Drosophila melanogaster: one gene and its partner. The protein of the gene in region 1 interacts with the protein of each later gene in a pairwise test. Each region holds a gene or a part of one and is shown in the gene's direction. Other genes may lie near its edges.

Region 1 (3,930 bases):
TTCCAACTGGAAATACGAATGCTCCGACTCTAATGCTGGCGGAAAGGGGAGCGGATATCATCAAGGAGGACTGGCGCCACTATAGAGATGGAGGTTGGGGTTAGGTACCATGATATCATTTCCTTTGTACTTTAATTTAAAGCAATAAACTAATTTTTAAACCGAGCAAACGATGGCTGCGTTGGCTTTCATATATAGAGTAAACTTGCAACAAAAAACGTGTTACTCGTGCAATGGGAGAACCTTTATAAATATATACATAATACATTTGCCAATCATGAGAAGGTATTTATGGATATGATAGAAAAACGATCTTGCAACCTAGATAAGCCCTTCGAGAACTATTAAGTTAAATGCATGCCTGGCTAATGGCCACATATGGCATTGGATTTTTTCTTTTTTTTTTCGCCTGAGAGTCAACGAATGCAGCCACTGCGATTAGTAATCCATATATCAATTGAAACTAACCATATAGTATAATGGAGAACTATTCATTGTTGTCATTCCGCAGGTCAGCTAATTTGCTTTGGTAATGATCTTGGCATTCATTTGACTCATGGTGCTGTTTGTTTCCCATTTTCAATTCAATTCATTTAGTTTTTCATTTATGCTCAATTCTCTGTTTTAAAGTGTGAGAACTTGTAATAGCACTTCCCAGCGTTCGGAACTTTCGCAATTTTGTAGTGATTACTTATGATTTTGTATTCCGGTATAGTTTCGATTGGAGAGCATATTCGTTTTGTGGCTTAGTAGCTTAAAAATTAAATAATTAAAAAGATTTTTAAAATTATTCCCTTTTATTTTGATTACTTATGTTAATCTAACTATTTTCCTATAAACATTTCTTTCAAATATTTTTTTGTAATTATGGAAATATGGCAAGGAGTATCTGTTAGTTTCATTCATGATATGAAAGCATTGTTCTCAATCGATTTTGCTCGTAATTTATGAGCGGCCACTGAACCTAAATGGCAAATGGCAGCGCGAGCTTACGAGTTTTACCAGTTTGAGTGTCTCAGTGGGCCATGGCTTTGCATTGGGCCGCAAATCGGAAGAGGTTTTCGAGACTTTTCATGCGAGTGCGCGGCGATTGAACTGGTCATTCCACGTCCGCCACTGAACGCAAGATGACGCTCCACAAGCTGCCCGCCAAGTGCATTCTGCTCGTGGTGTTGCTGCTCCTGCTGGACTCCAGCCTGGCCAGGTCGCAACAGTTCTTCGTCGCCGAGGATGTGATAACAGGAACGGCAACTGAAACGGGAACTGCAGCTGCAAGCAGAACCGTATTTGGTGATGATCAATTGCCCATCAACGATCCATCGGGTATGTGTTGAAATGTTCCGAAAAATGTAATCAAATCACAAGAAATACCAGACATTTCAATCTTTTCGAATGCAAAAGATCTTGTTTTCTGCAGCACTTTGCAGCCTTCTTAAGAATAGATACCATTCAAAGATATAGTTCGGATTATTATTTTCATGAATGAACACAGTATTGTACCAGAATTTTCAACTATTTTCGTAAACTCAATCCAGTTTGTTCGTAAACTTTGAATACATTTTAAGATACAATTACAAAAGCTTGAAATTACATAAATATTTTTATTGATCTGACATTTTTTCTGTATAGATCTAAGTGCTGGTTTAAATTTGGCGCCCGTTGGCAGTCTGATTGCGGCAGCAGCGAATGCCGTACCCCCTGCCCCTGTTCAATTTATTCGCACGGCCATGAACAGCGGGCTCTGACCGCCAGGTGGCGCTAACCTGAATTCCAAAATAACCCAAAAATAATTGTCTCTAATTTTTAAGCGCCTTTTCGGGCAAGCGTTTTAATTACTTTGTAAAGCTGCATTTTTGTTTTGTTTTTTTTTTTCTTTTTGTTTTTCATTAAGCTGAACTGCTTTGATTTTTTTTGCCGTCTTAATGTTTGTTTGTGTCGAGCCAAGTGCTATAAATGATTTTATAATACTCGTTTAATCTGGTTACGACTTTTTCGGAGCGATAAAAACTGTGCAGTTTGGAACTCAGTTTTCAAAGCCATTTTTCTTATCTAAATGTGTTATCAAGGAAATCTCTGTTACGTTGTTTTTTTTTTCATTCTAACTTGGCTGCAGCTCTTAAATGGCGAGCAATGCTATTCAAATATATATTATATTATATTTTAATTATATATGAAGTTTAAAAAATGTTATAAAATTTTAAAAACAATTTTCTTATTTTTTAAATCTATGCTTTGATTTTAGAAATATAGCACATATGTAATTATTAATATTATATTATATTATGGCTATTTGTTTATATGCACTTCATCAAAATATTCCAATTGCATCCAGAATGCGAAGCGATCGAAAAATATATAAAGTAATTGGAAGAAAGTAGTTCAAATGACCGATGAACTCATTTCGATTGCTATTCTGGTTCTCATCGTGATGATGCCGATTCAGAAACTGAACAATTTCTATACACTACTAACATTTATTTAAAACGTATAATGCTTCACTCTTTATCGTTAAAAATAAAGACACACACAAAAAAGACAAACAACGATGTTTCGATAAGCATTAAAGTCAAAGTAAGCTTTTTACAGTTTTCACATTGATTAAAGTTTTATAAAGCTGCTAAGAATGTTTAAAGAAATCCGCAAAACATTTTTACAACATTTACATTAAAATTTAGTTTGGTTTCCTTACCGTTTTGTATTTTCTTCTTGTGTATTGAAAAATTAAATTAATCACCATTAAGCGTATTTATTATCTCGCTCTCGCTCTGCCAATGGCTAAGTCAACGTCCTCGTCGGTTGGTCGCCGCAGGGGGAGGATGCACTGTACCTGCTTATCAGATCAGTGGCTATAAAAGCGAATCTTCAGCCGCGACTGCGCCTCAGAGTCAAATAGAACCGGGTCCAAACGAGTGGCACAGGCTAACGGAAAAGCAAAACGCAATGTCACTAGACGGTGGCCAGAATCTTAACTTGGATGCGGCGGCCATTGGCCCAGATCCATGTGGATCCGTTCCAGCAACACCTGGCATTGGATTATGGAGTGGCATGGTGACCATTCTTGTGCAAACGCTTCTATCGTCCCAGTGTCTAGTTTCGCCCGCCAGCCAGTGGCCAGTGGACTATGTTGGCGATTTGAGTCAACCCTACGATTTTGTGGTCATTGGAGCAGGATCTGCGGGATCCGTGGTGGCCAGCCGGCTGAGCGAGAATCCCGACTGGAGAGTGCTCGTCCTGGAGGCGGGCGGTGATCCACCCGTCGAATCTGAGGTGAGTGCCATCATATATTGGCATATGCCATGAGATCGTACCTTGGTTTTTTCTAATCTTACACACAAAGCTCTGTAAAATACAATCTAAACTAAACTTTTCCACTCTTGAGCTTTTCCATCTACTAACGAGGCAAAACAAACCCACACCAACACCATACCATAAAATAATAATCGTAAATGTAATTATAATGATGGAATAAACAATTCTCATAAAAGGAGGTAATAGAGTTACCAAAATCAATTGATGTTACTGCATTTAAATTTGCATACAAATTATTGTAGCATTCTTCATAGCATTAGTTTAAAATTTCCCTCAAAAATCATTTTATGTCTATAAGTATGCAATAATTAGAAACTAATATATTATATATAATATTCTATATTCCCTCGCAGTTGCCGGCACTATTCTTTGGACTGCAGCACACGAACTTCACGTGGAATTACTTCACAGAGCCCAGTGATGAGGCCTGTCAGGCAATGAAAGATGGTCGCTGCTATTGGCCACGAGGCAAAATGCTGGGAGGATCGGGAGGAGTGAATGCCATGCTATATGTTCGTGGCAATCGCAGGGACTTCGATGGCTGGGCGGCAATGGGAAGCACGGGCTGGAGCTATGATCAAGTGATGCCGTTCTTCGAAAAGTCGGTCACGCCTCAAGGTA
Region 2 (3,930 bases), on another chromosome or scaffold:
CTTGAAACGAATAAGAAACTATCCTATTAAAATATGTCGGAAATCGATCCTCAATCATTTGTCAGTATTTGTTCAACAGCCCATGTAAAACTGTCAGCTTAAGCGTAGAAAAAACAAAACATGATTCGATACACATGCTTATTGAAAAAAAAAAAAACATTTTATTTTCTTTGGTTTTGTGGTCATCCGAAAATAGTTGTGAGCTCGAGGTGTCCCATAATTAATTTTTAACCATTTTTAGGCCAATAATTAAAAATGCATTTATTACGACCGGATGGATGGTAGGCATCGATCGCAGGGGCATTTATCGCCCAATCGTTTCGATGTGATGGATTTGGGATACGGATTCGCAGGTGGATGTAGTTTGGGTTCGGATTCGGTTGCTAATGCTATGCATAGGAATGGACAAAGGTAGCCTATGTCAAAATCTCTCATGGTGTGAATTAATAAATTAAAATAAAATAGTTTTGTTACGCAAATCATAATTTGTGTACCGTCAACATTCACTTTTATGCTTTGACTAATCTGCGCACCGAGTGTTTTGCATTCAATAGATTTTGGCAACTTATTCATTTTGCATAAAATATGCAAAGTGCGGCAATAGTTGGCACCCATTAATCATGGTCGCATTTTATTTCCATTTAAAATTGTAATTTTCTCTTGTTGCTACTTTTGAACTAATGCATTTAGATCTATTAATTAATGACAAAGTAATTTTGGTTTCCCATTACAAACAGAAAACAACTTATCGTATATTTCTTTGACAGATCTTTGCATCTTTAATGGCCCAAAAAGGGAACATAGTTTCGGTTCCATTTCACTGTTTTTCATGGCTCACGAAATTGGCGTGAGAAAGTTGAAAACCATTTTTTTTTTTTTTTGGCATCGACCAGAAAACATGTGGGCTAACTCATTATCTGGTGGCCAAGTTGCCCTTGGCTGGTTTATTTTGATTTGTGGGCAGAATTTCACCCGGCTAATGAGATGCACCCTGTCGGATGCACAAGATTTTGAAATATATCTCAGGTGGCAAAGTGGCAAGTGTGTAAGTCCAAATTGGAAAGGAAGCAGCAAAGCTTGCTATCTCCGCTTCGATATTACACCATTTGCACATTCACTCCATTAGTATGGAGACCTGCCAATTAGCCCTATAAGGTCTATATCTGCTTGTATTCCGTATGCATCTGCTTGTTATGACAACTAATTTCCGCTGGAAGCTGGCATATCCATTTGATACGCTGTGCTTTCGATTTGATCGGGGGTTATTTACCTTCACTTTTTTAGTTTGAAATCCAATTCAAATTCAATACTATCATTTTGTCTCAATTTGGCACATTTAAAGCTGACAATATATCGCCCAACACTTACGCCCCATCGAATGGAGACAAAAACCTAGACCTTGGGCCAGACCAAAACTGATGCGAAATACTGAAGTCCCCGGCATATACAATTTTCAATTTCCATTTGATAGCTCAGGTTTCGAACAATAAAACAAAATAGAGACAATGGTCCCGTAGACAAAAGTGCATTTTAAGTCGGTCGAGTAACCTCGTCCGCCTATCTTCGTCATCAATATTTACATATTACTCTGGGACATTCAACTGATCTGCAAAAACTACGAAGCTAAACAAAACTTTTGTATTAATTTAAACGACGATTTGATTGTCCACTTGGCAGCCATGGATATGCTTGGGTATTTTAATTATATTTACAATTAAATGATTAAGTAGTTTCTCAATAAATGTTTTTACTGCCTGTATGAAAAAATCTAAATATAAATCTATAATCAAATTCAATGAATTAATTGCAATATTGAGATTGAAGTTAGTATAGTTACTAGGGATCTGATGAATGAATAGTTATTTGAATTTTGTTTATATTCTGAAATCGTATTAGATACTTGCTTGGAGTGAACGCACACTTAATATATATTATATTTATAAGGCAAATGTTCAAAATGATATAGTTACAGCTCGACTAACTTGTTTACAACAAATGCAGATTTTTTTTTGTCGTATCTGTATCACCCATTGTTGGGGCTTCCTCTCGCTCGACTTTTGTGGAACCCCATGTAAAGTCGATACAAAAGCCCACTTGCCACCCAGCCAAATGAATCCGAACAACCTCTTCGCCACGCATAACAAATGTTTTATGACCCCTCGACTGTTGCAACTGTGTTGGCTGCTGTTTCACGATTTGTTTCCGATTATAAACAAGTTGGGCCCGTGGATTGGTATAAAAGGCCAGGTGCCCGGTTGACCCATCATCACAGCACTAAGAAACTCGGACAGCGAGGGAGCATCCGGCTTAAGACAGCTAACCAGCAGAGAGACACCCACCCAAGCGGCAGCATGAAGATATTTGTGGTGCGTTGGAACTTGGACTACCTCTATGCCAATTGGATTACAAGGGATTATAATGATTGCTTCTCTTTCAGACGGTTCTGATGGGCGCCATGTGCCTGAGCCTCAGCCAGGCTGACATCAGCTTGACCCAGGCGGGTTACAACTACCGCATCCAACAGCAGCAGCAGCAACAGCAACCGCCCATTGTGGCCCACCTGTTGAACCAGCAACTGCAGCAGCAGCAGCAGCTCCAGCCCCAGCAATCCTCGCACCCGGTGCTTCCACCTCTCCCACTGCCCTACCTCCCGCCCGCTGGCCAGTTCCATTCTGCCCAGCCTGCAGTTCGTCCCACAGCCGGATCGTTTCCCATGCCCGCCGGCTTCCCCGTCAATTTCCAGACCGCTCCCATCCAGCAGCAGCGACGCGCTCGTCCGCGTGTCAGGATTCCCAAGCGTCCCATTGTGACCAAAAACTTTTTCATCCACTCGGCGCCCGAGGAGTCTGAGGATGAGGTCCAGGACGAGCTGAACCAGTTGGCCCAGCAGCCCCGTAACCACTACAATGTGCTGTTCGTCAAGACGCCGGCTCAGACCAATCGCGCGGCGGCTCTTAACTTGGCCAAGACCCTTAAGCAGGAGAAGACCGTGGTCTATGTGCTGGCCAAGAAGACGACCGCCTCCGATCTGCAGGATGCCATTGCCGAGGCGCCACAGCACATCAATAAGCCGGAGGTGTTCTTCATCAAGTACCGCACTCCAGAGGAAGCTCTGAATGCCCAGCGGCAGATTCAGTCACAGTACGATACTTTGGGAGGAAGTTCGACCATCACCGACGAGGGTGTGGCCCCCATCACCTCGGTGGTGGGATCCCTGGATCCTCCAGAGGAGGAGGAGGAGGAACAGCAACAGCAGCAACATTCAGAGGGACAATTTGCGGAGAACGGTGCCGGAAACTCTGGCGTCGGTCCCATCGGCAATCATTATTTGCCCGCGAACCAGTTCTAAGTATTCTTCATTGCTCGTCACATCCAGATCTAGTTAGCTGTCATCAACACCACTTAGGTTTAAGTGCTTGCCAATGTTACCCAAATCCGTATTAAAATATAATTGTTAAAAAAAAAACCATTGAATTTTAACTAGATGACGATTTTAAGAAGTGATTAATAGTACTTTAATAAGTCCCACTAAATGGGAATGAATTTAGCTTTCCAAACTGAACGAACGTATTATTGGAATAAGAGGAATTTTTTTGGATCCAAAGTATGTTCTAGGAAAACACATTCAATACTTGCACTTAAGCTCTGGCGGCTTGTCTTTTGAAGCTGGACATGTTTCAAGTACATCCTTCATTTCAGCAAAGGACTGCGCAAGCGCCTTGGCGATCTTTTGGTGATCAGTTGCCTGACAATGTCGCCATGCGGATATGGCCAAAATGATGTCATGTTCACGGGGATTGTAGCAACAGGCATATCCATCTTCTACAGAAGGTCCATATCCCATGAAGGCATCATATTTGGTGGCCACCTGCGAAGTGGACATTCGAAAGTGCGTGGACTTTACATATCCTGGCGAAGAGAAGAACTCCG

What was found.
Region 2: the proteins of fiz (region 1) and TwdlW interact in a two-hybrid assay, tested with the Drosophila melanogaster proteins (one large-scale study listed by BioGRID).

Annotation. Positions count from the first base shown.
Region 1 is NC_004354.4:14,908,017-14,911,946, reverse strand, and holds the start of fiz (fezzik), read left to right. Parts: upstream 1-2,238; 5' UTR 2,239-2,940; coding exon 2,941-3,267; intron 3,268-3,662; coding exon 3,663-3,930. Other genes in the region: CG12398 (uncharacterized protein), read left to right, coding at 1-104; CG14406 (uncharacterized protein), read left to right, coding at 1,128-1,323, 1,630-1,745.
Region 2 is NT_033777.3:17,140,734-17,144,663, reverse strand, and holds TwdlW (TweedleW), read left to right. Parts: upstream 1-2,259; 5' UTR 2,260-2,351; coding exon 2,352-2,366; intron 2,367-2,437; coding exon 2,438-3,349; 3' UTR 3,350-3,456; downstream 3,457-3,930. Other genes in the region: CG5265 (uncharacterized protein), read right to left, coding at 3,626-3,930.